4 linked regions of the Danio rerio genome follow. The protein of the gene in region 1 purifies or fractionates together with the protein of each later gene. This does not show direct contact. Links are inferred from orthologs where the notes say so. Each region holds a gene or a part of one and is shown in the gene's direction. Other genes may lie near its edges. The genes, in order: sec13, mios, sec23a and nup107.

Region 1 (7,932 bases):
AGACATGCGAAAGAGAAACCATTTTAAGAGACAGTGCGCGATAATCCTTCTACCGCCTGTTTTTATAATTATTAATCAAACAATAAATGGAGAACATGTCTTTCTGCTCTTGACTCAAGGACTGCTGCAGCTAAAGTGTTTTTCTGACATTGAAGATGCATAAAGCACAGTTTGCTTCATATTTTTATTCTATTGTTTTTATTTCTCTTATGTTTGCAGGTGGGAAAATAACTGTATATGCAGTTGAAGTGAGAAATACTAGCCCTCCTGAATATTAGCAACTCTCTTCTCCCGTTTTCTGTTTAATGGAAAGAAGATTTCTGAACTGATTTATTTTATCTTTGTCATGATGACAGCACATAATATTTGACTAGATATTTTTCAAAATACAAGCATTCAGATTCAAAGTGCGATTTAAAGGCTTAATTAGTGTAATTAGGCAAGTTATTGTATAACAGTAGTTTCTTCTGCAGACAATCAAAAAATATATAGCTTAAGGGGGCTAATATTATAGACTTTAAAATGGGTTTCAAAATATTTAAACCTGCTTTTATTCTAGCCAAAATAAAAAAGCCTTTCACCAGGAGAAAAAAGTATTAGAGGAAATACGGTTAAATTCCAGTTAAACATCATTTGGAAAATATTTATTTAAAAAAAAATTACCAGGAGCGCTAATTATTTTGACTTAAACAGTAATGGTTTTGAATAATCGTGATTACAATTGTGACCAAAATAATCGTGATTATGATTTTTCCCAAAATCGAGCAGCCCTAGATACAGTATTATAGTGCTATTGTGCGATTATATTGCTATTTATTACCTGTTTTCAACTTTAAATTATGTCCTCAAAGGAAAATATCTGTTTTATCAGTTTATCTCACTAAAGTTTTGTTCATGCAGTGCAAAATGGGATTGTTAGGTGGACAAACTCATAAATAGTGTATGCACCTTTTTGCAATGCCACTTTATTTATTGTACTATTTTACTGTGTGCTAAAGATGACCCAACTCACCTGAAAAAAAAAAAAAAAAAAACAGGTTCAAAAAAACTCAACACCACCAGTGGTTCCCAACCTTTTTCTTTGGGGCTCCCCCCATGAACATATACAAACATTGGAGCCCCCCCACCATATAAATACACACGCACGCACACACATATGTACTGTGTATATATATATATATATATATATATATATATATATATATATATATATATATATATATATATATGTATGTGTGTGTGTGTGTTTGTGTAATATTAATATATAGTAATATGTATAGAAAATATTAATTAATCAGTTTTAACTTGTCTTGGCCTTCAATAAAACCAAAATCTAGGTAGGCTTTGTCATACTGTCTAATCTTTTTCTTCGCCTCTGAATAATCACTGCATTTACGTTTGTCTGCCATTTTTGTTTTGATTTTGCCTTCACGACACGTTGACAAGCAGATTGCGCGAGTGAGCAAAATTTAAATAATTATTTAAAGTTATTTATTTTAATTATTTTCACTATTATGTTGGAATTTTAAGCATGTGTTTAGATTTTTTTTTTGGTACTTAAAAATACATATATAATAGTAGGGCTGCTCGATTTTGGGAAAAATCATAATCACGATTATTTTGGTCATAATTGTAATCACGATTATTCAAAACCATTGCCAGTTAAAGTCAAAATTTTTAGCGCTCCTGAGATTTTTTTTTTTTTTTTTAAATATTTCCCAAATTATGTTTAACAGAGCAAGGAATTTTAACAGTATTTCCTATAATATTTTTTCTTCTATTTGTTTTATTTTAGCTAGATTAAAGAAAGGTTTAAATATTTTGAAACCAATTTAAGGTCAATATTATTAGCCCCCTTAAGCAAAATATATTTTTGATTGTCTGCAGAATAAACTACCGTTATAATGACTTGCCTTATTACTCTAATTAAGCCTTTGAACTGCACTTTAATCTGAATGCTTGTATTTTGAAAAATATCTAATAAAATATTATGTGCTGTCAATATAGCAAAGACAAAAAGAAATCAGTAATTAGAAATGAGACTATTATGTTCAGAAATAAGTTAATAAAATATTCTTTCCATGAAACAGAAATTGGGCAGGAAAAGGTTTGCTAATATTCAAGAGGGCTAATAATTCTGACTTCAACTGTATAACAACAGTTTAACAAACGAAACTAATTATTTAAAGGCTAATTTATGTCTGTGCGGTAAGGTTTCCTTATCCACGAGAGCAAAAGTGAAAGTGAACTTACTTTACGTCATGTTAATAGCAATGCGCTAATGGTGCGACGCAGCTGGCTCTTAAAGGTAATGGAAGATGAGACTCTGATTGGTTTATTCTCAAAACACACCTATAACTCATTAAGAAAATAAACTCAACCCTTTTAGACCATGCGCCATGGCGCAAAGCGGATTTTCCCGTCCTTAAGTTAGCAAAAATGCGTTCTGACATGCCCTGAAAGCGTTTGCGCCCTGCGTTTTGCGCTCTGCGCATGGACAGTCAAAATAGAGCCCTTTATTTCAAAATAGCCACTAGCAAGAAATCTAGCATATTGTATTGCTTCCTCTGTATATAATAGTGATTTTTTTTTTAATAGTTGGCTTATCTGCAACCTACACACTAGCCATTATTTTTATTAGAAGCAGACATGCATGTCAGACAAGCATTAATGAGCAGTAAATGCATTGTTTTAAGGGGAGATTTTACAGAGGATTCAAGATTTTTGGATAAAGGGATCATCCCTTTTGAGTTTTAAAGCCTCTCGTTTTGTACATCAGTGCTAAGAAAGCCAGTTTCTACAAATAAATGTGTTATGTTTTAAGAAAAATCATGTAACCTGTAAATGAAAAAAAAATCCATTGCACTTCTGTAAAATATTACTTTGTTGACTAGCCTAAAAACTCTCATGATTGTGAACATAAACGTTTTGTGCACTATATGGGCATTTTTGCTAAATTGATGCTTTCCATTAGTCATTTTTCTTTCAATTCGCAGTTTGTGTAATTTAATTAGAAATGGAAAGGCACATACTGACTGAGACAGACATTCATCATGCTGTTGGTTAAATCAAACACTTTGCTCTTCCACAGTCAATTCGGTTTGCTGGGGCCCATACGACTTTGGCCTGATTCTGGCCTGCGGTAGCTCAGACGGGGCCATCTCAGTGTTAACCTGTTCTGGAGACGGACACTGGGATATTAAGAAGATCAACAATGCACACACTGTAAGTTTTGCCTTTGAGTTTACAACATCCTAATATTTACATGTCCAGGGCTCTAAGAAATACTGTTTGGTTATTTAAAGGGCCATGAAACCCCCTCTTTTCAGCAGGGTGTTTTTACACCTCTATTTTGGAAAAAGTCAGAAAAGTGGGCGTGTCCAGCTTTGTTTAGGGGGGAGTGTCGGAGGAAGAAAAGAGGCTTGGTGTGGGAGTGTATTTGGGCGCGCTGAATTTCAGAATCAAAACACACACCCACAGCGGACAATGTAACTGTGTTTACATGGACATCTGTAGTCGAATTATTTGCCAAATGATTAAATGGTGGACTTTAACTGCTGTTTGGCTCTTTCATTAAGGGAATTCATTCATGTCCCTCACGACAAATGAGATATTTGATTCAAGGAACTGCTCTAAGTGTGTATTTTTATGCAATGTTTGATACCGCATTGATACGGCGAATGAGAGAAAAAAACCCTCCGCATTTCCCGGAAACTTAGATGCACTCGGCAGGTAGCGTCAGAAAGCCGCGTGTGCTATTCCGGTCACAAAATCCTGCACGAGGTTATGGTTTGGTTGTAGTGCTAACTTGTTTACACTCGGTGCAATAGTTTGGTCGATACGAATAAAATACGAACTGAATAAACAAAGAGCACTGGTCGCTCACTTACCAAATCTGTAAAGACAGGACAATCACCAGCAACTAGAGCCGCGTCTTTATTAAGAGGAGACTACAAGCGAATCCGGATCTCAGCGTTTGCAGATGAGAACAGCTCTCAGGTAAACAATAATCCTCCTTAGACACGTAAGTTATTGTTGTCGAGCGTTGCGTACACTGTAATCTACGCGTGACTCCAGCTGCGCTCTCACAGAGAGAAAATGAAAACAAAACTTAACGGCAGCAAACTATAAAAGCAACACTTCACGCTTGTTTTGCCAACACAACGTGGCGTCTCTGTCATCTAAACACTGTGACAGTAATAAATATTAATGAAGCTGCACAATAGAGCGCGCTGATTGGTTTGAACCAAGCTTTACTCATGCATTAATGCAGCAGGCTGTAAGACGTAATAAGACACACTCTGGCACAGACGCCCAGTCTGCACGCTGGAATACACGCTATTATGTCATGACCGTGACGCAGCTTCAAAAATTCGTTTCAAACCGGAAGTACAAATTTGCTTGAAATAACGCAAAAACAACCAATTTACACTTTTTAGTGAAATATATGTGTCCTAATAGTGTTTATAGCAGTGTGGGACACATATACGACTGTCAACCAATGACTGTAAAAAATATGGACGACGCGACAGCCCCTTTTCCCATTGAACGCCTTGAGGGCAAAACGCCTGCTTGACGGGCACAAACTGTCGCAACAGACTGCTGAAATTGGAGCCTTGACATGCGCAGAAGGACTGTCTGATGGAGCCAGAGGAGGAGCCGCGAAAATGAGCGGAGTCGAGCTTCTAACCAAACGCTTTATGTTAAATCACCCACGCCCCCCGAACTTCTCACTCGACTGCCGGTGTGTGCACTATAACAAACGCTCACTGATGTAAATAGAAGCACTTACATTAAAAAAACACAATAATATACGGTTTAAAAACGGTGTGATGTAAGCTGTTAAACTTTAATAAAAGCAATACATGGTGGACTGCAGAAATGAACGATCTTTTATACACTCTAGCCTGAATATGAGCACAAATAATATATTCTCTTATTGTTATGTTTGTTGTTGGTATTTGTTATCTTCATAGGGGTAGAAATAACACTTGTAAAATATGAACAATAACATATAAACAACACATACATTTTTAGAAAGGTTTTTATTTTTAATTAGCCATCAACAGAACCCAAAATATAGCCTACACACCATAACGATTTACCATGCGGGAACAATCGTGCGTTTAGAAGATAAATACAACAAGATTACTAAATATTAACAGGATATTTACACATCCCAACCCTGCAATTTGTCAATTTGTGCAAAAAAACTTTGCACTATTAATCCAATGTCTATCTGCTGCAACATCACTAGTATATTGTTTATTCATTTTCGCTTGAATTGTTTATTTATTTAATTTTTTGCCTCCGTTTTCATTTGGTTTATTCGATGCCTTCATTATATCTGGCAACGAGGAATTTACAATAATTTTAATGTTAGCTGGAGTGTTCAAATAAAACGCCAACAGTAAATGATGTAAATAAATAATATCTAACATTTACAGCTCTATTAGGTTATATAAGATTCGATTTCAAGAACCTTATAATGATTTATAACAGCAAATTCAGTAGATTACTTAATAACATGCCAAAACTTAAAATGCAGAGACGTCCTGTAAAGCAAGTTCAAATAACCTTACACAGGAGATCAACGTGGAGATTATTATTTTAGACACATAAAGAGAATTACTGCTAACGATCTCCTGTATTTTCCCCGTACTTAAATGGGTTTATTTTATTGTGCAGTTTTATTGTCATTTTCGTATTTCTTAATTCTTGTGCACTACAAAATGTATTCAATTGTATTATTATTTAATACTTGTGCAATCGATACAGGTTTATTGTTATTTATTTTGTCCTTTATTTAAATAATTGCTATGTATGCTGTTTGCATCTTTATTCAAAGGTTAAACTCAGTGATACACTTTGCGTTCACATAGTAGCATGCGTTTGTTGTTATATCAACAAAAATGGTTGTAATAACGTTAACAAATGTGAGGGTTTTATATAATGAAGATTCAATCGCGCCAGCTCCGGGCAGCAGCGCACATAACCTACTCGCGGCGTCGCGGGCTGATTCCGGCTCGCATGCGGCAGCGCCTGCTCGCTCGGCCCCCGCATCTGGCTCAATTGACTCAAGCTGGAATCGGGCAGTGAGTCCAGGCATCCGGAGTAGGTCCAGCAGAGGTAGTCAGTCTGAGGGGTAAGTCTCCGGCAGGCAACAACTGGCCCCAGTGTATTTTGCTATCTGGGGGGTTAGGCGTGTATTAGCAAACTAATAAAGCCCGAAAAAAGCTCTGACCTTAGCGAATAAACAGTGTTCCACCAGATCATGTATGTCAGAAACTGTAGTTTACTGCTGAACTCATTTTGTCATAGTAAAATATCACAGAAATCGAGTAATAACACTTCAGTCTTCTGCCGAAGCTCAGACGCCGCGCTTTGAGAAACTGTCAATCACAGCTGTCAATCACGATGACACGCCCAGCATTAAATTACTGCTAAAAACAAACTGTTTACAAAAATGAGGATCTGCACCTATTTCAGCACAATAACCAGAGCTTTAATCGACCAGAACCATCTTTAGGGACATTTTATTGCAAGTGTAATTAATTTTTTTATTTGGGCTCAAGGCTCCTTCATTAACACGGAGGAGGCGGGCTTTATGACTTGTACTGCAGCCAGCCCCCAGGGGGCGATCTAACAGCCGAGACCTTCACTCAAACGCAGGCTTGCGGCACACTTGCTGTCAACAGCTTAAAAAAATGTGTTTTGGTGTTTCGTGACCCTTTAAAAAGATGTTTAATTAATGGTCAATTTCATCTGCTGCAGTTCAAGCCGGGCATCAGAATGGCAAAGAAAGGTGATTTAAGTTATTTTGAATGTGGCATGGTTGTTGGTGCCAGACGGTCTGGTCTGAGTATTTCAGAAACTGCTGATCCACTGGAATTTTCATGCACAATCATCTCTAGGGTTTACAGAGAATGGTCCGAAAAAAAGAAAATATCCAGTGAGCGGCAGGTCTGTGAGTGCAAATGCCTTGTTGATGCCAGAGGTCAGAGGAGAATGGCCAGACTGGTTCAAGCTGATAGAAAGGCAACAGTAACTCAAATAAGCTCTTTTTACAACCGAGGCTTGCAGAAGAGAATCACTGAGCGCACAACCTCTTGCACTTGAGGCGGATGGGCTACAGCAGTAGTTGCAGCAGGTTGCCTGGTCTGACAATTCTTAATTTCTTCTGCGACATGCATTGAATTTGGTATCAACAACAGGAAAGCATAGATCCATCCTGCCTTATATCAACGGTTCAGGATGGCGGCGGCGGTGGTGGTGGTGGTGGTGGTGTAATGATGTGGGAGATATTTTCTTGGCACACTTTTGGCCCTTTAGTACCAATTCAAGCAATGCCACAGCTTACTTGAGTATTGTTGCTGACGATGTCCATCCCTTTATGACCACAGTGTACCCATCTTCTGAAGGCTACTTCCAGCAGGATAACGCGCCATGTCATAAAGCGCAAATCATCTCAGACTGGTCTTTTGAACAAGACAATGAGTTTACTGTGCTCAAATGGCCTCCACAGTCACCAGATTTCAATCCAATAGAGCACCATTGGTCTATCTATATATCTATATATCTATCTTTCTATCTATTAGAGATGCACCGATACTGTTACACCTATACCATAAAACTGTTTTTATAGTTCTGGTGATTGCTCAAATAATAAATCTTATTTAAAAATAGCAGACGGGCTTACTGTATATGACATGGCACAATCTAACTAAAAACAGGATGCTTGCTGTAAACTAGGCTACATTATTTAAGCATTTGATTTAACATTGATCTATTGTGGTCCAGCTTTTGTTTCTTTTTTAATATTTAGATTTTTCTTTAAAATCTGTAAAAGGCTACCACTTTTAACTCTAATCGTTGGTAAAATAATCAGCCTTTTAGCAAAGCCTGATATTTTCCAAAAGCTAATTTGTGCTA
Region 2 (7,932 bases), on another chromosome or scaffold:
GGATGTTTCTTCCATGATGTTTCACATTGCTAGCATGATTTTAGCATGATGTTAACATTATTTAGCATAAATTTCATAATAAGATTGATTAGTTTGTCAGTATGTTGCCTTCGTCAGGTGAAAAAGTAATATGATGTGGTTTTCTGTTTTGCAGTATGAGAGTCGTGTGGCGGTCAGGGACAGAGTGGCCTTTGCGTGCATGTTTCTAAATGATGCTCAGGTAAGACCCGTTCACTCATACTTTCATCAAATCACTGTGCAGTATGTAATGCACTGTACTTTTTTCTTTCCCTGAAGTTGCCTCGTTACATAGACAAACTGACCAATGAGATGAAGGAGGCTGGTAACCTGGAGGGAATCCTGCTAACAGGACTGACCAAAGACGGAGTCGACCTCATGGAGAGTTACGTAGACCGAACGGGAGATGTACAGACAGCCAGCTTCTGCATGCTTAAGGTCAGCGCATGTCCAGAAACACTACATGAGGAAAAAGTTACATGAAAATAAATTATCTGCTCTAGGTTTAGTCTATTTATGTTTTGTATTATAATATACACTTGTTTTCAGAAGTTTGTGGTCACTGATGATTTTAATGTTATTTAAACTTTTAGCAAGAAAGCTTTTATTCCAGTAAAAGCAGAAAATGTATTTGTCTATTTGAACATATTGTAAAATGTAACTTATTCCTGAAATAAAAAAGTGAAAATCAGAGGTCTGAGAGTTAACAGGAAATCTTATGAAAAGTGAGCCATTACTCTTTCTACCACTGGACAATTCATCATTCTCATTATCTATCGGTTAAAGAAGGATTCCGCAGCCAAAATAAATGACACAAGCAGGAAAACAAGCTCTTTTAATTCTGACTTTGCACCTAATATAATATAGTATATCACTATTATTGTTTTTATTATAATTAAGGGTGTCACGATCCTCCAAATCCGCGATTCGATTACATTTTTGATTCTAAAGTCACGATTCGATTCGATTTTCGATTATGAATAATTAATTAATTAATAACGAATTAATTATTAGTAGCCTACCTTTTAAACTACCTGACTTGCATGGTCTTTGTTTTACCCATAAACAAATCATACAGTAAATGAATAAAGGCAAGATACACACATAATTACCACCTGTCAATCACTTTTTTCTGCGGGACTCGTGAATAGGCAGTGATCTGTGTCGTTATAATGGCGTCGGTAAAAAAGACGCACAACCAACAGGAACCAGCCAACAGTATCTGAGGTGTTCGCTAAAATGACTAAGTACTTGTGTGAAAGTAAAAGATGGAAGCAATCTACTGACTCGCTGACTTCCTTGACCCGCTGTCTCGAGCGCATGACAATGTGTGTGCGTCCTATCTGTGTGTGAATGAGTGTGTGTGGTCACGTGATGTGCGTTTTCAGCGGTAGTGAGTAAGGAGGGCTGCTCAGAAATGCTACACGACACTGTGGATGTGGATCGTTGTCGTTCTAAAATGCCATTTAAAAACAAAGACATATTAGTGTAAACAGGGCCTGAGTGTGTTTTTTTCGCAAGCGGATTTGCAACGGGTGCGGGGCGGAGGATCGCGATGCGCCCATCGTCTATCATCCCAAACGTAATACGTACATAGCAGAGCTTGCAAACTGTGTTTTTTTTTGACGACAACACGAACGTTGTCAACATAACTAACTGGACATCCAAAATACTTACACACCGGCGACTTCATTGAAAGAGGAGAGGATTTAAGCTCTGTCGACGGGTCTCCTGCGTCTGCAGTTTACCAAGCCCTTCAACAAGCCTGTTTTTTCACGCTTGGCAAGCCAAGCTAACGTGACATGGGGGCGTGGCAGCATCGACGATTCTATTTTTGATTCGATAATCGAAATTGAGCATAAATTTCGATTGATTTCGATTAAAAATCGAAATCGTGACACCCCTAATTATAATCTACCTCTCTGTCGTATATTTCAGGCAATTCCCTTTTTTTTATGTATATAGGTGGATCTTTTTTGGGAGTGATCTTTCAAAAATCATTCTAATGCTGATGATAGACAGGGCAACCTTTTTGAGCAATGCTATTGGGCAAAAAACCTTATGGGAAAAAATGTCATAAATGGGCAACCAGGAGACACAGAATAACTTATCAGGGCAATGGGTTACAAATACAATATTGTTGGTCATTCTAAATGGAAAAGTAGCCAATCAACATCATTCTGCCTGACAACATTGCTCAAAAAGTTGACCTGTACATCAACAGAATAATAAGTTTGTTGTGTTTTAGGGTTCCCCAGGAGAGGTGCTGAAGGACCCTCGGGTGCAGTGTTGGATCGAGAACTATCGTAACCTGTTGGACGCCTGGAGGTTCTGGCATAAACGGGCTGAATTTGACATTCATAGAAGCAAATTGGATCCCAGCTCAAAACCACTTGCACAGGTTAGCATCATGTTTCTTTCTGATAGTTGTTTCAAGTGCATACGGCAGATATAAACACTGCCCAAATTTGTTTTTGATATATATAATGGGTTATTTGATCAAAAATGAATGGCATGACACTTGGTGGGTAGTAAAAAACCTCCAGATGGCACTATTCTTACTTTAATAAAGGCCTTAAAAATGCTACATATATTTATGTGTGCATGTGTTTGTATGCATATGTTAAATTAAATTACATTTTAATTTACTGGTTATGACATTAGATTTTTCTGTCTTATTAGCCTCCTTCAGTTATTAAAATTATTATGCTTAATGTTTGGCAATTTAAAGACTATAGAATACACAAGACACGTCACTCATATAAATTTGATTGAGGAAAAATGTATCGGTCAATATAGCGAATGAAGCCCCGCCTTCTAGTACAGGAGCCAATCATTGATCGCTAAAAACTGATGATTCTCTGGGGGAGGGGCTTGAGCCAGATGTGAGTTTCTGCAAATTATGTCTGATTCGAATGTTTAGAAATGAAACTAAAGAGACGATTGTTGTTTAATTCTATTGATGATTTCTAATATGAAATTCTATCGTAAGCTTGGCAAGCAGTTTGGAGAATTTGATGTTTCCCAATTCAAACAGAATGCCCAAGCATACTGCCTGAGAGGCATTTCAAACATGGCCGCCGAATGAAAATGACTGGCCTATTGGGTTGATAAATCAATCATGAGTAAAATTGAGCCCTTTAAAGTTATTAAGGTCCTAATCGTGTTCTAACGAGGTCTTAAATTTTGTTCAAGCATTGTCCAAAGTGTTTGACTCCAAAAAAAGCAGAAATATATTTATTTTCCTACTAATATTAACAACAGCATGCTTGATCCACATGATTGGTTCAGGCCGGGGCGCGTCCGGCCAAACTCCTTCATCCGGGTGATGTCACGTAATTTGCGACAAACGCGGGAAGGTGATGTAATGCTCTCCACATGTAGCGAAACTATGCAAGTAGATGGCAAAATGGAAAAATGTAAGTTTGCATTCTCCTGGTTGGAGAAAGATGGGTTTAAACAGTAGCTGAAGCCTGTCGCTGAAAACAACCACATAATTTATTCTTCAAAGCTCATCTGAGTTCTGTTGCATGGTTGGGCTCCAGTGATATATTTAACTACAAATGTTTATTAACAACTGTTTATTAAATTAAACGTTTGATACTTACTAGAACTTGAGGTGCGATGGGGTCTTAAAATATTCTGAGAAGGTCTTTAAAAAGGTATTGAAATTACCTTTACGATTCCTGCATATACCCTGAAAAATATTTGAAAAAACATACAAAATTCACAGTAGGGTTAATCATTTTATTACTGTAAATTGTAGAAGTATTCCAAATAGTATCTTAAAATCTGCTCAAAATTCTAAATCAAATAAAACAAAAACACAAATATACAACTGAGCAAAAATTTATTGTAATAATTTTCCGGAGAAGTTTAATTTTAAGGCTACGTTCAGTTTTGAGTCAAGTGTGACCCTTAAAGATGGCTTGACGGATAATTATTATCGGTCTAATAGCAATATCAATTCATCTGTAATTTCTAGTTTATAAGATTTTTGTTTATATAATTTTTAAATGTCGCAGTGGGTAGCACGTTCGCCTCACAGCAAGAAGGTCGCTGGTTCGAGCCTCGGTTTCCTCCGGGTGCTCCAGTTTCCCCCACTGTCCAAAGACATGTGGTACAGGTGAATTGGGTAGGCCGAATTGTCCGTAGTGTATGAGTGTGTGTGGATGTTTCCCAGAGATGGGTTGCGGATGGAAGGGCATCCGCTGCGTAAAAACTTGCTGGCGGTTCATTGCGCTGTGACGACGCCAGATTAATAAAGGGACTAAGCCGACATGAAAATGAATGAATGAATGAATGAATGAGTAAATTTTAAAATTCTTTTTAATTTATTTGAGCACATTTACAGTAAAGCAGTAATACTGTATTTAAGTTTTCTATTTGAATATATATATATGAATGCAGCTGGGCGGCATGGTGGCTCAGAGTGCTGGCTGGGTCAGCTGGCATTTCTGTGTGGAGTTTGCATGTTCTCGTGTTGGTGTGGGTTTCCTCTGGGTGCTCTGGTTTCCCCCACAGTCCAAACACATACGCTATAGGTGAATTGAATAAACTAACTTGGTCATAGTGTATGTGTGTGAATGAGCGTGTATGGGTATTTCCCAGTACTGGGTTGCAGCTGGAATGGCATCCGCTGGGTAGAACATATTCTGGATAAGTTGGTGGACCCCTAATGAATAAAGGGACTAAGCCGAAGGAGAATTAATGAATGTATCTCTTAATGCAAAGCTGAATTTTCAGCATCATCACATAATACTTCGACAGTCTACATTGATATTATAATTCAGAAATCATTCTCATATCCTGATTTGATGCACAAGAAAGATTTATTAATTTTATATCCTATCCTGATCAATTTCTGTTGACTTTTGTTCCATTTATTGTCATTCTCTTGCATCTGTGCAGGTGTTTGTCAGCTGCAATTTCTGTGGGAAGTCTATATCATACAGCTGCTCAGCGATGCCACATCAGGGCCGTGGGTTCAGTCAGTACGGGGTCAGCGGGTCACCCACCAAGTCAAAGGTCACCAGTTGCCCGGGCTGTCGTAAACCACTCCCACGCTGTGCCCTCTGCTTAATGAACATGGGCACCCCTGTTTCCAGCTGCCCAGGTGACTGATGGATCATTTAAACTTCTGTTTGATACTATAATGTACTATAGTAATATCATATCTACAATAATATAATATTAATTTCTGAATTTCACTTATTTCATCATATCAGGCACAGGAAAAGCAGACGAGAAAGCTGATCTTACACGAGACAAAAAACTAGCGCAGTTTAATAACTGGTTTACCTGGTGTCACAACTGCCGGCATGGTGGCCATGCGGGTCATATGCTTAGCTGGTTCAGGTAAGAGCCATATTCATATACAATGCAATGATGCTGCATTTGGGGGACAGTAAATGTTTTATTTTTAAAATAAAGATAACACTTAGATTTAGCTGCTATGATTTAGCACATTTTAACACATTGCTAATATGTTTGAATATGACACTAGTGTTTAAACGCATAGCATGTTAGCATCATTTACCATTCCTAGCATGGATTTAATGCATCGATAGTGTTTCTAACTTCACATAATGCTAAATGATAATGCTAACATGTTTTTTTAACATGAATTTACACATTAATACCATGATAAATACAATGATGCTGCGTTTGGGGGTCAGTAAACTTTTTATTTTAAAAATAAAGATAACACATTGATTTAGCTACAATGATTTGGTGCTTTGTTTGCTTATGCTTTTGAGGTTTTAACACATTGCTCGTATGTTTGAAACTGTCGCTGTTGTATGCATAGCGTGCTAGCATTATTTACCATGGCTGCAAAAAATGGGTTTAATGCATTAAAAGTGTTTCTAACTTCACGTTATGCTAAATGAAAATGCTGACATGTTTTTTAACATGAATTAACACATTAATACCATGATATAACACATTAGCTCATTTTTAATCAGATTTGTAACAAATCACTGTTTTAGCATGTTTCTAACATGTTTAAAAACGCTTCTATGTTGCTACTAATTCTTATGCTGTGTTTACACCAGATGCGAAACGCGCGGATAAATCGCGATGTTCGTGCATAAATAGCCACGTGAACATTTGAGTTTACTTGCTTCATTCGCGCGTCAAACCCCGCTTCATTTGCACGTCAAATTCACTTCAGAATAGATGTGGATTCGCTTGATGGGCAGGGCTTCTATCTGCCCGGTGACTAGCTTTGTTACTAAATGGCTAACATGGATTTTATGAAGAAAATAACAGTGTTTATGTGCTTTATGAAGGCTGAAAAACAGTGTCGATAACTGCAGGGCCGTGTCTAAGTCCACTAGATCCTTTCAGAGGTGCATCCAGCTCTGTGAGCTCATAAACTCCTCCAGAAACTTAACCTGGATGATGGAGGCTTTCAGCGGTGCTTCTGACTGAGCCGAGCCCAGTTTGATTAACTTTTTGTCAGTGTCGGCTGGAGGATTTCCCCTGGGACACCAACAACAGGCGATACGTCACAATCACGCCCCCATAAGAGCAAGTTGCTGATTGGTTAACGTGGCGCGAATGTCCGCTGAAGTTCAGATTTTCAAACTCCAGCGATCAAACACTTAAAATATTCAATTCGCCTGTATCGCGCCACTCGCGCGAATCGTGCCACAGGATGTTTATTCGCATGTTTGCATTGACTTAACATGTAAATCACTTGCGCGTGACATGTGTTCCGCGTCTGGTGTGAACGCAGGATGAGAATGTGCTTAGTAGTAACTTTTCACATATTGTTAACATGCTGTTTAAACACAATTTGTCACAGCTTCCTCAATATAATATACTGGAAGCATGTTGTTATACATTGTTAGCATAAATTAACACACTAGTACCATCATAAAATACTTTTAAATTTTTTTTTTTTTGATAAACCACTGTGTTTTAACATGTTGCTTGCATGTTTTAACACACTTCTAGGATGCTGCTAATGCTTAGTATGTCCTTGCTTAGTATTATTTTTCACACATTGCTAACATGCTGTTTAAACACTATTTAACACATAGCTCCCTCACTATACTGATAGCATGTTTTAACACATTGTTAGCATGAATTAACACATTACTACCATGATATAACACATTGTTAGCTCATTTAACACATTGTTAGCTCATTTTAACAAGTTTTTAAACAAGTCAATGTTTCAGCCTGTTGCTAACATGTTTTTTCACACTTCTAGGATGCTGCTAATGCTTAGAATGTGCTTAGTATTAACTTTCCACACTTTGCTAACATGCTGTTTAAACACAATTTAACACAAAGCTTCCTCATGTTGTACTACATTGCTCGCATGAATTAAAACGTTACTACCATGATATAACATATTGTTAGCTCATTTTTTTACAAGGTTTTTAACAAATCACTGTGTGTTAGCATGTTGCATGTCTAGCATACTGCTAATGCTTAGAATGGGCTTTGTATTAACTTTTGACCCATTTCTAACATGCTGTTAACACAATTTAACACTGCTTCCTTGATGTAACATACTGCTAGCACGTTGTAACATTGTTAGCATGAATTAAAACATTAATACCATTATAAAACACATTGTTTGCAAATTTTAGCAAGGTTTTTACAGTGTTTTAACATATTGTGCTAGCATGTTTGAACACACTTCTAGCATACTGCCAATGCTTAACATGTGCTTCGTATTAAATTCTCACACATTGCTAACATGCTGTTAACACAATTTAACACACAGCTTTCTCGGTACAACATACTGCTAGCATGTTGTAAGACTTTGTTAGCATGAATTAACACCTGAATACCATGATATAACACATTGTAAGCTAATCTTGCAAGGTTTTAAACAAATCACTGTGTTTTAGCATGTTGTTAGCAAATATTAACGCATGTCTAGAATACGGCCAA
Region 3 (7,932 bases), on another chromosome or scaffold:
TCTGTGTAATCATGCAAACACATCTTAGTAGAGCTAGCAGTTTGACCGTTTTCTGCCCATTATTGTTTCTAGTCATTTCTCCCATAGGCAACTTAATCAGAAGTTCTAAAACAATCGCAAAAACGTGCACACTTCCAACAAGGTCAATTGGATGCAACAGTACCAAATGTTGCACCCCCCAAATATAATTAACTGTAATTTATTACATATTCACCATTTCTTTTTCTGTTTAAATAGTTTATACTTAGTATTTTAGGGCTATATTTAACCTAAATCAAAGCTGTGTCCATTAATAAAAGATGTAAGCTGTCACATGCAAAAAGTTTACATCGTGGGCACACAGCGGTCCTTTAAAGCCAGTCATACCTAGGGTTGGGTATTGTTTGGGGTTATTTCGATACTGGTGCTAAATTGACTTTTAAAACGTTACCGGTGCCTGAACTGATACTTTTGAGGCACACAATTAAGGTGGATGACTCTAGAAAAATGTTTTATTTTTACAAAAAAATTAAATGTAAAACTTTTTCCTGACCATCTATATAGTTTGGTTGTGTAGACCTGCATTTGCCTCTCATTTTTTAGTTCTACAGCATGAATCAGTGGGCGGAGTTTAGACATACTGTTACATAATCAATTGGCAGATTCCACAGTCTGTCATGTTGCCAGACTGGCAGAAAGTTTTGAGCTCTAAAACTTGCAGGATGCTTTTATGGTAACTGTAAAAAGGGTGTTTTGATTTTCTCAGTTTATGTCCGCTGGGTAAATAATCACTACCTTAACATGTAGCACTACAGTAAATGCACAGCAAATTTACTAAACATTTTCTTCAATTTACAGTGCCAGAAGTTTGGAGATTATCATAAAGAAGATCCCAACTCTTTCCGTTTCTCCGAGACGTTCTCGCTGTATCCTCAGGTACACTTTTGTCTCTCACTCTGAGACTGCACTGAATCTCACTCTAAAGCAGTGTGAAAATGAGGTGTTGATGTTGTTTTTGGCAGTTTATGTTCCATCTGAGGAGGTCGCCGTTCCTGCAAGTGTTCAACAACAGTCCTGATGAAAGCACCTATTACAGGCATCAATTCATGAGGCAGGACCTGACCCAGTCTCTGATAATGGTACAGCCCATTCTGTATGCTTACTCCTTCAACGGACCGCCAGAGGTAAGCATGCAAACCTTCCAACACATTTATGGTTTGCGGGATTTGACTGACTGTTGAGGGTTTCCATTAAAGTGTCAGCTAACCTAGTAATGATCATTCTGTTAGATACTCACCCTCATGTCCAAACCATACCTGTCAACCCTCCCGTTTTTCCTGGGATTCTCCCGTATTTTACAGTTCTATCCCGCTATCATCCTGTAAAGGTATTTTCCCGTATTTCTCCCATATTTTCTGTCTTTCTCTGAAGGGTGACTAATAAACATTTAAAGAGTCAAGCCTTCCTATTGACCTTATTCTAAAATGCGGAAGTGCGCCTGTTTTTGCGATTGTCTTAGAACTTCCGATTCAGTCTCCTATGGGAGAAATGACCAGGAATAATAAACGGCAGAAAATGGCCAAACTACTTGCTCAACAAACAAATGTTTGCATGACTACACAGACCAAGTAGCATAATATAATAAGAAAATATTAAATTGCAACATCAAGCAGCGTAACGAGCAGTTGTTAACGTCAAAAAATGAATGGAAGTGAATGTGACCGGAAGTCGCGAGACAAAAGATTCAAATGGCAGCGCCCACTCGTCAGCTGAGAATAAGGTGAATACGCAATCCCATACCGCCGAACCATTAGGGGCCGCCCCTTGCTCTTAAATGTGAGTCTTTTCTGTGCTTTCACTTTGTTTAGGCATGAAAACACTTTGAAATAAACATAAAAACTCGGGCGAATAGCAGCGCCGCATTTGATTTGAGTTGAATATGAATCACTTCGGGATTTTGTCTGAAACAGGTATGACTGTACAGACATCTTTATGATCAGTGCATGCATGATCATAGGGATAACCAGATAAACAATAATTCTTGGCTAGAAATTGCAACAGCAGTGGGAAAGGAGGAGAGTTTTTGTAAGCGTTTAGAAAAACTTGAGGTATAGGGATAAGTTTGTTAAAACCAACAAGAGAGGCCATGCAAAAGTGGAGACCCAGGGGGTTTTAATATTACAGAATATGTTTTGCCACCATTCATAGGTTTTACACTGATGTATATATTACAATTTTGAATTTAAAACAATGTAATAGTTACAAACTAAAATTAAGTAACAACAAATTATTTCTTTAATAACTGGAAAGGAATATTTGAACCTGTCTGTTTACAATATACTAATGCCCTATTTCTAAGCTGTATTGGTGATAATGGTCAGCAATGTTAGACCATTATTCCCTTTTTAGCTTTAAAAAATCTTGAATGGCTATAAAAATATTTATAATCATTATAATAAATTATAAAAAAAAATAACTAGTTAACCTTGAATGTTATTAATGATATGACTTGGTTACCGAAACTTCCTACTTCTGTTTATTCGTCTGACTTTGTGGTGAGTTTCTTTTGACCGCCTGTCGTTTTAAAGAGCCTCGTTCGTTTCATGAGGTACACGTGCAGCCAGCAGAGGTTCAGTGGTGCATCCAACCTGTCTTCAGTACTGTTTAATTTAAATACATTTATTTTGTCACTAAATTTGTGATTTTTTTTTTCTCTTCATTTTCTCTTTATGTGTATGTGTGTTTTTAATATTGTAATATAGGACGTAAACTTAGGGCTCTATTGTGACGGTCCATGCGCAGAGCGCAAAACGCAGGGGTCAAACGCTTTCAGGGCGTGTCAGAACGCATTTTTGCTAATTTACGGACGGGAAAACCTGCTTTGCGCCAAGGCGCATGGGCTAAAAGGGTTGAGTTTATTTTCTTAATGAGTTATAGGTGTGTTTTGAGAATAAACCAATTAGAGTCTCATCTCCCATTCCCTTTAAGAGCCAGCTGCGTCGTGCCAAGAGCGCATTCGCTATTTACAGGACGCAAAGTAAGTCTAAGTGGAAAAACTGAGCATTTCACAAGCAAACAGTTAACAGTTTTTTAACAGAAAACTGTTAAACAGGGCATCTACTGCGTGAGAATGAGAGATAATGGATCTACTTTCAGTTTCGCTCTTGGATAGGGAAAATATTTGTTTCAAAACTATTTCTAAATTCAGTTCTAATTTCTAGCAAACAAATAAATGAACAATAATGACCAAGTGTGGTCAAAATACTGAGTTATTTCCAAATACACCTGCCATGCCCCATATGGTCTAAAACCTGACAGGTGGGCAAATCTAAGCTTGTTTTTAATAAAACAAATATAAATATGGATATAATAAATAATACTGCTAATAATAATAACATTATACAAAAGCAAATTGTTATGAATGAACTTCATCTCGGGAGGTTTATCAGAAGACATAAAAGCAGTGATTTTTCATATTTATGTAGGCTAGAAAATAATATGTTTTGTAATATTTTAATCATTTATATTTATATTCTATATCTATTCTTATTATATACTATATATATCCTTAATATTTAATTTTTTCATATGTAAAGATATTTGCCTATTGCTCTCTTGTGCGTATTAAGCAGTGCGTAAGCGAGGCGCAACTCTGCGCCGGAGTTTAGACCGGGTTACTTTCGGTCTAATGAAAAATCTATTATAGTTTCTCAAAATAGCAACGCGCCAGCGGTCCGCCTCAGAACGCCTCCCTTTTTAGACCAGAACGCCTATTGGCGCACAAATGAGCGCTAATGCATTTGCTATTTAAACAGCGTAGCGCAACGCCTCAAAACGACTCTTGCGCCAAGCTGAAACTACCAAAAGACTACTGCGCCGCGCCTTGCGCCACACTGCGCCGAGTGGATGATAGGGTCCTTAGTACTTAATGGTCTTATATTTGACATTATGATATCTGCAGAAACCCTGTGTTGGTGCAGATGTTCATAAGCAGTTCTTTTGTTTATTGTTTTTGGAGTACTTAAACAAGACAATTCCAACTATGCTTGAATGTGTTTTATAATAAATGCTGGAAAGTTTTGTTAATAGTGGGGCAAGAGCTCTCTCAAATGACTTTTTATTTAAAAGATTTTTGAATGCATCAAATAAAAGACAGGTAATAAATGTCAAATCATGGAAAATTATGTTAATGGAAGGGAAAGAGTTGAGTTAAATGACTAAACTTTTTTTCTAATGCCGTTGGAAGCATTATCAAACGTCAAAAACATTCCATTAACATCAAGTGTTAATAAGTATTCACAGTACATCATGTGCCATGACATGTGACATTGAATCTAAAGTGCCTTGTCATGATAACTGTGCACATGATGTCCCCTGAGTCAACAGATTAAAATGTACGTTTAATTAGTGCGCTGTGATCTTATTACCATTCAAAGCTCAGACTATCACTGGCTGTTATTGTTTTTAAACCTATTTTACTAAAAGGCCTGAAAGTTGCACGTATTTTCTCACACATTTTGTGAGGGTAAAAACTACTTCATTAATAGGTTGTAGAAACTTCTTTAGTTTAGTAGAGTGAATTAAACATCATCAAGATGATGATACAACAAGCAACTCACACTGACTTGTATTATTCTAATCTGCTTTAATGGAGGGCTCAGTGTTTTTCCCCTGACGCTGAGACCAGAAGCAGCTGAGCTTTCAGGAAAGATGTTTATCAAAGCATCTAATTGAGAGTGACAGTCCAGTAAATGCTTTTGTTTCTTGTTGTTGTAGCCTGTGTTGCTGGACAGCAGCAGTATCTTGCCCGACCGCATCCTCCTCATGGACACTTTCTTCCAGATTCTGATTTACCACGGAGAGGTAAGATTGAGGAGGAGAAACAGCACGCGTCCTGCTTTCCTGCTGTGATTTATTTCCCCGGTGACTAGATAGACGTTGGTTTAGCGCCAAGTCTTTTTCATGTTTTCAATAATTAAGAATACAGTCTGCTTTCTCAGTCCCGCTATGAGAACGGTTCAATAATCTGTGCGCATGAAATCCAAGCCAGTAAACTGAAGCAAGTTTAAACTTGGCTGCGTTTCAGAGGACGGACGTTTTCTGATGAAACACTTGTAGGTGTCTCGCTGAAGTACATGCTAATGAAGTGAAATTTGAAACAAATGCAGTGAGATGTTCCCATAGTCACAGCTCAGCAAACACACTTGCACCAGTAAACAAGACGAGTGTTCAGATTTGGCTTGTTGTTGTTGTGTGAGTTGTGACAGATGCACTGTGTTTTCCCCTCATGTAGACTGTGTCTCAGTGGCGTAAAGCCGGGTACCAGGACATGCCCGAGTATGAGAACTTCCGCCACCTGCTTCAGGCTCCAGTCGATGATGCTCAGGAGCTTCTACACACTCGTTTCCCCATGCCACGCTACATCGACACTGAGCACGGCGGCAGTCAGGTACAAACAACATTAAATCATGCCACAGGAAATGTACAGCTGAAGTCAAAGTTATTAGCCCTTGTGTGATTTTCTTTTTTTTTTTTCAAATATTTCCCAGATGATGTTTAACAGAGCAAGGAAATTTTCACAGTATTTCCTATAATATTTTTTCTTCTGGAGAAAGTCTTAATTGTTTTATTTCGGCTTGAGTAAAAGCAGTTTTTAATTTTTAAACACCATTTTAAGGATAAAATTATTAGTCCCTTTAAGCTCTTTTTTCTTTCCCATTATCTAACAACTTGCCTAATGACTAGGGATGTAACGGTATCAGAATTTCACGGTACGATAATACCTCGTTATAAACGGCACGGTACGGTATTTATTGAATAATTTACAGGAAAAACAAAACTAATGAAAAGACTCGAAAAAAGTGCCAAAAGTGTTTATTTACCTTAGCACTGAACATATTAATGACATACAAATTTATCTATCTGTATTTATCCATCCATCTATCTGTAAGTTTCGAAACAGGAACTTCAATTTTTCAATTTTAATAACAAAAAACTAATAAACCATATAAAAAAAATAAAGTTTCAATTTAGTATTGTTGAAAACTCGTCACATTCAACATTTAATCACTCACTCACTTAGATAGAGATGGGTTTTTTAAGGAATTATCATATAACTATAATCTGGTAAAAGCTGGGATCTCTGGGCATGTCCCCTGCAACAGAAAAAAGCCCTCTCATTTGGGACTGAAGTTTCTGGGACAGAGAGATATGATTTAGCCAAGGTTGACAGCAGTGGGTAACGTTGTGCATTGTCTTTCCACCACTTGAGAGGACAAGCCATGAGTGAGATAGAGGTCTCTTTACGGTACAAGTCAATGTCTGCATCAATCTAACAAGTGTGCTGTGTTCTGCAGTCCCCATGACTGTTTTTAGTCGTATTTCCCGACTTATATTTCACCACAGTTTGGCAGTGCCTGCATACCGTTTTTGTCTTTGTCTGTCACCTTTTCTCCTTTTTCGTATCTTTTTAGAAAGAAACCGAAATGCTTCCACACATCCGATTTAAAACCCGCTTTAGGTTCGATCATTTCCAGCTCTTTTTCTTTCACGCTACTAGCAGCACACTCCATTTCCGCATTACTGGATCTGTAGTGACAACAGACCGCAAAGGATGATGGCCACGCCTAGGCTGATGGGAATTGTAGTTCCCGCTACCTCCCATTCGCTTCATTTGCCTAAGCAAACTTTTCTCAGAAATCTAGTTTTATTGAGTCATGCGACTACGGTAATATTGAAAAAAATTACTATTGCGGTATGATGGTATTTACAATATTGTTACATCCCTACTAATTACCATAACCTGGGGTGCTTAATTTAGACTAAAATAAAAGAAAGGCTAGAATTTATAATTTTTTAAAAAACATTTTAAGTTCAATATTATTAGCCCCCTTAAGCAGTATTTTTATTCAATAGTCTACTGAACAAACAATCATTATACAGTGACTTGCCTAATTACCCCAACTTGCCTAATTAACCTAGTTAAGCCTTTTACTGTCACTTTAAGCTGAATACAAGTGTCTTGAAAAATAGCTAGTCAAATATTATGTACTGTCATCAAGGCAAATATAAAAGAAATCAGTTATTAGAAATTAATTATTAAAACCAAATACTGCTGGCAGAAACAAAACAAGTCAAAACTGAACTATAATAAGCTCGCAACCTACTTAGCTATATTGGCAATTTGGTCAGTGACCCTTTATGCCACCTAATATAGGCTAGTCCAGCCTGAAATGTAAGTTTGTTCATGGGGCAGATGATGTCAGATTTTTGTTGCTGACTTGAAATATGTCATTTGTTCACAATACTGATCCATCCACAGAGTTTGTAATATAGTCATATGTTTCCAAATAAAAGTGCAGCTGTTTAGAGGCCATTTCTGGTTAATGGTGTCAGAATTTTCCGGTATTTCGCTTTTTTGAGGTCATTCTGGTAATTTTCAGTATATTTACCGGTATTACTATGTGAAAGGGGCTAATGATGCCATGGGAGAGAGAACTTGTAAACGGCAGTGAAGCAACGCAAGTAAAACCGTAAAAACTATACAAATTCCCAATTAGTATAATAACCCATTATTTACTCAAGCCTCGTATAGAATAATTATCATATGTAAGGTTGAATATTCAATGTTCAGAAAACAGCAATCCAAACTTAAAATATATATTAGAAAGCCTAATTGGATGTAAGAGTAGGATAAACTTTGCTCATTCCCTCATTCCTCATTTCTTTGTTATAGTCCCTTTATTAAGCAGGGGTTACCAAATGTGCATAAACTATGATGTAATTTATCAAATAATTTAGCATGCTCATCAAATAGTCGTGATTTTGTTTTAATTGATCATGTGTTGACAAAAATGGGAGGGATGGAACGGCATTATTAGACAAATCAGCAGACCGACCACATTGTAAAACTTCTGAAATGTTGGTTTGGCCATTCTAAAATGCCTCAGCCAA
Region 4 (7,932 bases), on another chromosome or scaffold:
AAAGTCAAGGACATTTACCAGTCAGATACAGTGAACTGTCTGTGTGTGTGTTCAGGGGGTGGTGAGCTTCAGCCTGTGGAGGGAAATCCTCATCGCAGCGTCTGGAAGGTTTGCTGCTGGAGAATGGCAGAAGAGGTGAGAAAACTATAGATCTGAGGTCTAAATCCATGCGCTAGAAAGTTTGGGAAATTTTAGTTGAGGGAAAAGAAAATCCTAAATATAGTAAATTTGGTTGTGAGCTGGTCAAACTTTATGGTCATGTAATATATTTATTATGGTTTACTTTTTGGTAACAGTATTTTGGAAAAGGCTGTACAAATATATTTGAATAAAGTTTAAAACATCACTCTGCTGCTCAATACATAAAAGGGTTTATAGCATAAGCATATTAGTTCGAAAAGAAAATATAAAAATATTCATTAAATCCTCTTTACATAATGTCTATAAATATTTCAGTTAAGAGTCTGCTTTATGTTGCTGTTTCAGGAGCAGTTCAACAAATATGAAAGGGCTATCTATGCTGCGTTGAGCGGAAACCTCAAACAGGTAAATAGTCATATTTTTAACTCATATTTACACCATTTCCTCTTGCTTTAGTCATTATTTGATCATGTGCTTGTGTCCTGCAGCTGTTGCCGGTGTGTGAGTCCTGGGAAGACACAGTATGGGCTTATTTCCGGGTGATGGTGGACACTCTGGTCGAGCAGGAGATCTGTTCTTCTGGTCTGGGCAGTGAAGAGCTGGAGGAGCTGCCCAGAGACTTCCTGGAGACCAAGTAGGACTACAGTGACTTTCTAATATGCATTCTCTCCTTTTATATCCTTTTTCACCTAATGATTAATTCTTTTTATTATTTAGTTGGACGCTGGAGAAAGTCTTTGAAGAGATTCAAGCAACAGAGTCCAAGGTAAGAATAAATGAATGAGGTTTAATATGTAACAATGTTTAGACAACAACAATGTAGCTTTTTGATAAAATGTACATGACAACATTTTTTAATGATCTGTGTTTACACCAATCCACAAAACTTTAAAAAAGCACTATATTATCAATGGCAGGCCAGTGTTTCAAGCTGTCACCTTGATAGTAAACAGTATTTGTAAGTAAGGGATGGTGTGCTTTCTGCTAGTTTGCTGTGTGTTCAAGATGAATCTCAACATTTGGTTCTAATGTGAAGTAAATCCACACTTTGCTGATGAAGTTTTAGCAAATACTTAAGCACCAACTACAGTACCACAAACTTTGTCATTGTTGTGTTTGTTTGTGCTGTGCTTTAATCTACACTCACCCAAACATAATGGCATCACTTTCAAAGACTTAGTTTATTCACTGCCCCAAAAAAGAGGGTATTTTTTTAAAAACTTGAAAAATGTATGCCTTTTCAGACCCAAAAACAACATTGTCATGTAATCAAACAGGCAAAACGTCTAAAAAGTTTTCACCTCCGTGAAGATGGCACCCATAATAAAAAATAATCCCCAAAACTATACCATTCGTTTGTGCTGATTTGTGTCGCAAAAAAGAAAATTTGTGCCGGTTTGGGGTCTGAGATATTAAGCATTATTTTTTTGACTGTGTGACGTCACTTTCCACCCCATGTTGCTCAAATGACTTCAAATCAGCACAGGTCGTTTGTACTCAATTTGTGCTTTTTTTTGCCCTTAAAGCAAACTCTATATCTGTTTTCCTCGTTTAGATAAGAGCAAAATATTTGGGGAGCCATGACGTCACTCTCCACCCCATTTCCTCTTATTCGCACCAAACCGGTGTCATTCGTTTGTGCCTGGTTTGTGCCGTTAAGCAAACACTTTATCTATTTTCATTGTTTACATATAACCAAAATATATTTATATTTATATTCGTGCATGAATTGATTATTTTCGTTTCCTCACAATTTGTGCTCGTTTGTACTGCAAAAAAATATTATTTGTAGGCCTAAAAATAATACTAGATCATCCAGAGGTGTCTCGACTCTAGTTGCTCCATATTTACCAAAATAGTCTCGTTTGTGTGTGTTTTATTTGTACTGGATTGTACCTATGAATGTGTCGTTAGTGCTGCTTCTATTAGTAAAATATTGAATTAAAGACAATGACATCACCAGCCACCCCACATGTATGATATTCTAAAATATTTTAATTTGTTTGTGCTGATATAATTTTTGTTTGTGGTGCTTTATTTTTAGATATTAAAATAGTCTAGGCCAATATAAGTTATTCTGAAATCTTTTTTTATCAGAAAAAGCACCTTTGCTGATTTGTCATTTGAGCAATACGGGGTGGAAAGTGATGTCACACGGTCAAAAAAATAATGCTTAATATTTTTGCGGCACAATTCAGCACAAACGAATGGCATAGTTTTGGTGATTATTTGTTTTTATGGGGTGATAACTTCACAGATGTAAAGTTTTCAATTTTTGATTGGTAATGTCATGTAAAGAGGGAAATTGGTGTTTATTTTCTGATCCTTCACAAATGTTTTGTTGACAGAGAGTTCTGGACGCAACCAAGGAGCACTACCATGTGATTCAGAAGTTTGTGATTCTTGGAGATCTTGATGGTATGTTTCAGAAAATTTTTATTTTGAGACTCTTTTTTTTATTTATTATTTAACAAAGAAATAACATCCTCTTAATTTATCTAAAGGTCTTCTTGAGGAGTTCAGTGATTGGTTGGGAAGAAATACACCTTTGCCAGCCCATCTCTTACGCTTCATGTCACATTTAGTGTTGTTTTATCGCAGTTTGGGCATGCAGCTTAAGGTACATACAAACGCATATATATTTTTAAAAACCATGTCTTATTAATTACCACTGAGTGAGTAAAATGTTCACGTTTGTTTTAAACTCATCAGGAGGAGGTGTGTGTAGATGTCCTGAAGGCCTACATCTCGCTGTTGGTGAAGGAAAAGCAGGTGGAGCTCATTGCGTTTTACGTCAGTCACCTTCCTGCAGATTTGGCTGTGTCACAATATGCTCAGTTCCTGGAGGAAGTCACTGAGACTGAGCAGCGCAAACACTGTCTGGAGCTCGCAACACAAGCAGGCAGGTTTATTTTGCACTAAAGAGTCCTCTTGCATTACATACTTAATACACCAATGGTTATAATGTCACCAATTTTTTTGTGGTATTTAGGTTTGGAAGTGGCAGCAATCACAAAAACGGTAGTGGAAACCATCAGAGAGAGAGACACAGATGAATTTTCCCACCATGACCTGACGCCTGCACTGGACACGGCAACTACAGTGGTACTAATGATGAACTCTTCATTTATGAAAACTTGTTTACCACAGGTTTGATGGAAAAATATTAGTTTACTTTTTTATTTAAAATTTCACATTAATCCATACGATTTTGGATTTTAAAATAAGATTTTGGAGATGTAAACATGTTTAATGTTAAATTGTAGTTTTGTGTTTTTTTAAAATTGCAACATTAAACATGTTTACATCTCCGCAGATATTATACTACAAAATCAATATAAATACAGTGGTAAAATATAAATATTTTATTTTTCCATCCTTGCAGTCTTTCTTGAATTTTCTTCTCCTTCTATTATAGCTCCTTCCATTATAACTTGTTAACTAATTAGCCTCTATTAACTGATAAATGACTACTGAAAGAATGTAATACTCCTACAACTAAAAAGCTTTATGTACATGCTTTACTGGCATGATATTTAGTACAGTATTGCCAAAGCATTTTAGATATGTATAAAATAAGTAAGTTATTCACATTATCAAATTAATAACATACAACAAATTTGAAATAAATGACAGGAAAAATGAATAAAAACAGACATATCTCTAAAATGGATATTTATTAATGATTAGAAAAGAAAGTTTAGATTTTATTAAATAGGGTAAATTAGTTTATTGACCATTTCTAATGGTGTACATATATTTTACAGGCAGTTTAAATGTCATTTTATTCTCTTTGAGCATATAGTAATATATATAAATTTTTATCGTTTAAAGAATCTGTTATTTACTTTTTCTTTCTGTCTCGCCGCAGTGCACGCTGTCAGCTGCGAAGCCAAACGGAAAGTAGTCTTTATTAAAAGAATAATACAAAAATGCAACAACTTAAGAAAGCGAAAGTAAAAGTTGACTCCTGGATATTATAGGAGATTTACAAACACTGGCTGGAGTCGCCAGATGCAATTTTAAACCTCAAATAGGCATCTCTCTGTTGGTCTCTGCAGAGCATGTGAGACTGTGTTGTTGACAGTTTTCTCGCGCACACACAATAAGCAGTATGAAATGTGTTGGGTGAGAGAAGATTTTCCACTAGTTAATCAAACAGATTAATGGATGCGAAAAAAGTGTAAAAGGATGATAATATTATTTAAAAAAAAATAAAAAACGGTCCTCCAATATACTTGGACGGCCGTTAATATACCTAGGCAGTAGTAAAGTCGCCCAAGTAAAATCTATGTGTGGAAAGCACTGGATTTATTGATGTTAGTTAAGTAAAATTAGCTTACAAAAAAAAACTAATAAACTCATTATGTATAGCTCATTTATTAGTTAAGGTTAGCCATTGCAGTAGGTGTTGCTATTCAACTTTTCCTCTCTGTACAGGAGGATCAGCAGAAGATTGATGTGATTGACTGGTTGGTGTTTGATCCTGCTCAACGAGCTGAAGCACTTAAACAGAGCAACGCCATCATGAGGAAGTTCTTAGGTGAGACTTTCCTAGCCAGAATAGTATATCAAAATCTATTAATGTTGTAATTGGTCATTTTATATATCATCAACTGCCTCCTCTTTAAAAATTAGTTACAGTCTCACACACAATTTCACTGAAACACTGATAAGTTGTACAAGCTCATTTGTAGGTTGTGTAAAAAATGGCTAATGGTAGCACTAAATAAACTAGACTTTCACAAACATTATAAAAATGTATTTCAGATCCTCTCACTTTGTAACAAATCCATATTAATCCTTTAAAGAATTTTAGCATTTACATTTCTCTACTTTTATCCAGAGTACCTTGCAAATGAGAATCAATAGAAGCCATTTGTAAACAGACCAGTTTGTAAGTTTAAGTCTGCTGTAAACAGCAGATATAAACAAATTTAAAGGAAAACTAAAATAGAGAAATAGAAATCTTCATTGATTCGCATGCATACATCACACATTGAATGTTTGTTTCTTTTTAACACACAGCAGATAGATTAGATCAGTTCTTTGATTTGCAGTGTTGTTCTATTATACTCATGTACAATACAGCATCTAAGAAGCATGACGCTGCTAAGATGGTCTTCGCCAAAGTGCCCGAAGACTCCATGCGTGAGATCTACCGGCAGTGGGAGGAGCAGGGTATGGACACACCACTTCCTGCAGAAGAGGAGAATGCCATTCGTGAACATCTATGCATTCGTGCTTATCTGGTGAGTAGTGCTGTTGTACAATGAATTGACCTAAAGTCAAATCAAGGAACTTTTCTGCTGTACAATGTCTGCAGCAGACGCAGCGATATTTTGCAACACCTAAAAATAGTTACCTGCTACGTAAATGGATGACATCAATGTGTAATATCAGTGCGCCTGCATCAGCCATGATATGGCAGGAAAGTTTCTTGATTATTACGCTAGAATGAGAGTATGCTTCATAACCTTATCAACCTAAAACGTAGCAATTTTTAATCCCTGTCCGTCTTTGTACATGATGCAACTACAGAAGTGTCAAGCTTTAAATGGGAAAATTATTAAAACTTTTTTTATTTTAAATTTTGAGCAAAATGCTAATGGCCTAATCTGCCTCAGTGATTTATGCTAAGCTAAGCTAAAGGGCTCCTGTGAGACCCGGAGATTGAATTAATAGATTAAAATGTTAAAAATGTTTACCTCTACGGGGGTTTCAAAATGAGCCTATTTGTTAAAAAGTGGAGTGTTTCTTCAAGTGTCATTTAAATATGTTGTGGACTAATTTATAAAAGATGATAATGTTTATATGGTGGGTAACAACAACAATTCGAAAGCAAGGGTTTACAGATGCCAATGCAAGCATGTTTCAGTTGTCAAAGGATCCAGGATCCACACTGTTCTTGTACCAATAAATGAGTTGACATTTTAACCCCAGTTTAGTATAGAGGCACTGATAGGTGAGAGCTAGCTAATGTTACCACTACATATCTATGTTCCCTGTATAATATAACAATAGTTCATTATTGTTTAGGTAACATTAGCTCAAAGGGTGTAATGCAGGGATGTCAAACTCAATTCCAGGAGGGCCGCAGTTCTTCACAGTTTAGTTCCAACCCTAATTAAACACACCTGATCAAACTAATTGAGTCCTTCAGGCTTGTTTGAAAACTACTGGTAAGTGTGTTGGAGCAGAGTTAGAACTAAACAGTGCAGTGCTGCGGCCCTCCAGGAATTGAGTTTGACATCCCTGGTGTAATTGTTCACTAAATTGACGGTTCAGTTTGATACAACACAAAGTGGTGACTCAGTGTTTTCAATACAGCAAATAGAAAGAAATGTCCTTGATCTTTACTACTTTATTTACTAAAACTAACATCATAAATACAATCTTGTCTTGACTTTGAACAGGGATGGAGCTATACTTGGCCCATCTTCTGTGGTGTCATCTTAGCATTGAAAACAAAAACTGATGCTTATAAAAATGGAAATTAATCAAATTTAAATATAAAAAAATAATTCAATTGCCCTTTCCCTTAAGATGCCAGAAATCATTGTTACAAGCACAACGTTTTAGCTTTTGGATCTTTCAGTGTTTTTCCAAACCTATTTCAGAGCCCAATGCATCTGATAATCCACTGTCATTGGCTCATCTGTGGTTGAGGGGAGGTGTTTGGCGATAGCTCAGTTGCCTGTCACTATAATGAATGCACTTTAAGTGGGAAGATCTTTCTTCTTTTTTACAGGAAGCACACGAAGCGTTTAACGAGTGGTTCAAGCACATGAACTGTCCTCCGGTGAAGCCCACAGCTCCTGCTCAAGCCAAGTTTACAGAGAAAGTGGCTCATGAGATGAAAGAGGCTGAGTACAAGGTCAGGACGGGACATCCACACACCGCAGACTGAACACATCTGGCTTTGATCTGTAATAGTGTTTCTGTGTCACGTTCCTCCAGATAGAGCTGGAGAACTGGCAGGGGCGTCTAGGAGCTCTCACTGAAGATGTGAAGGAGAGGATCTATAATGTGCTGCTGTTTGTAGACGGAGGCTGGATGGTGGATGTCAGAGAGGTGAGCTTAAATGTATTATAAGCTTAAATGTATTCAGTTTTAGACCTTTTGTACAACGCAAAATTACCCATTATGCTTCGTGTATGCATATGAAGGATGCTTTGAACTTCTGGTCGCCAGCTGATGCGTATAAAAAGTCACATTTGAACTGCATTGAAAAGAAAAAATAGTTTTAGTTTTGAACTAATACTGCTGTCGGTCAACTCCACCTCCTGGACTGATTATTAAAAAAAAAAAAGTGATCTAATGGAATGGGATGCTTACTGTCAGACGGCATCTTTTGCCGTTTAATTGGAGCACGATCATCATTTTCTCTTTTTTCAAATATATAACGAACCCAAACAAATGTAATTCACCAAAATGTTTGACAAACACACACAATACATTGATTTAAAGACTAGCACAAAGTGAAAATAAAGTGCCATTTTAAAATGACAGAAAAGCACATACTATGGTAAAACTACACAATACAAACTAACTAAATGAAACATAAACTGCTCACATTTCAACATGCAAATCAGCCTGAGTATTAGTAACATACTTTTATTTCTATTATTTCTGGAAATTGGATGGCGTACATACCTGTTAAGTTTCATGCCAGTAATACAGTTTGCTCTTTATAATGCAGTGATGTATAGCGTGTGATGTATGCATTAAAGAGCCCGTTGAGTACAGTATAACAGCTGACAGGTCACACTGACGTTATATTTCAACATT

The links.
Region 2: the proteins of sec13 (region 1) and mios purify together in Homo sapiens (affinity purification with mass spectrometry; 5 studies listed by BioGRID and IntAct, counting the BioPlex papers as one, with this or other methods). This does not show direct contact. The link is inferred for Danio rerio from reciprocal best matches to the Homo sapiens genes SEC13 and MIOS.
Region 3: the proteins of sec13 (region 1) and sec23a fractionate together in Homo sapiens (co-fractionation; 3 studies listed by BioGRID and IntAct, with this or other methods). This does not show direct contact. The link is inferred for Danio rerio from reciprocal best matches to the Homo sapiens genes SEC13 and SEC23A.
Region 4: the proteins of sec13 (region 1) and nup107 purify together in Homo sapiens (affinity purification with mass spectrometry; 8 studies listed by BioGRID and IntAct, counting the BioPlex papers as one, with this or other methods). This does not show direct contact. The link is inferred for Danio rerio from reciprocal best matches to the Homo sapiens genes SEC13 and NUP107.

Annotation. Positions count from the first base shown.
Region 1 is NC_133197.1:32,950,448-32,958,379, forward strand, and holds part of sec13 (protein SEC13 homolog), read left to right. Parts: intron 1-3,091; coding exon 3,092-3,225; intron 3,226-7,932. UniProt on the Homo sapiens protein: Functions as a component of the nuclear pore complex (NPC) and the COPII coat. At the endoplasmic reticulum, SEC13 is involved in the biogenesis of COPII-coated vesicles.
Region 2 is NC_133191.1:51,756,311-51,764,242, reverse strand, and holds part of mios (GATOR2 complex protein MIOS), read left to right. Parts: intron 1-154; coding exon 155-220; intron 221-297; coding exon 298-456; intron 457-2,266; coding exon 2,267-2,419; intron 2,420-4,929; coding exon 4,930-5,134; intron 5,135-5,246; coding exon 5,247-5,376; intron 5,377-7,932. UniProt on the Homo sapiens protein: As a component of the GATOR2 complex, functions as an activator of the amino acid-sensing branch of the mTORC1 signaling pathway. The GATOR2 complex indirectly activates mTORC1 through the inhibition of the GATOR1 subcomplex.
Region 3 is NC_133192.1:11,320,549-11,328,480, forward strand, and holds part of sec23a (protein transport protein Sec23A), read left to right. Parts: intron 1-837; coding exon 838-915; intron 916-1,001; coding exon 1,002-1,163; intron 1,164-4,755; coding exon 4,756-4,842; intron 4,843-5,272; coding exon 5,273-5,428; exon of another isoform or gene 5,429-7,334; intron 7,335-7,932.
Region 4 is NC_133179.1:23,334,036-23,341,967, reverse strand, and holds part of nup107 (nuclear pore complex protein Nup107), read left to right. Parts: intron 1-55; coding exon 56-135; intron 136-486; coding exon 487-546; intron 547-629; coding exon 630-775; intron 776-858; coding exon 859-907; intron 908-2,489; coding exon 2,490-2,559; intron 2,560-2,645; coding exon 2,646-2,761; intron 2,762-2,853; coding exon 2,854-3,043; intron 3,044-3,133; coding exon 3,134-3,246; intron 3,247-4,581; coding exon 4,582-4,684; intron 4,685-5,232; coding exon 5,233-5,393; intron 5,394-6,892; coding exon 6,893-7,018; intron 7,019-7,101; coding exon 7,102-7,215; intron 7,216-7,932. UniProt on the Homo sapiens protein: Plays a role in the nuclear pore complex (NPC) assembly and/or maintenance. Required for the assembly of peripheral proteins into the NPC. May anchor NUP62 to the NPC. Involved in nephrogenesis.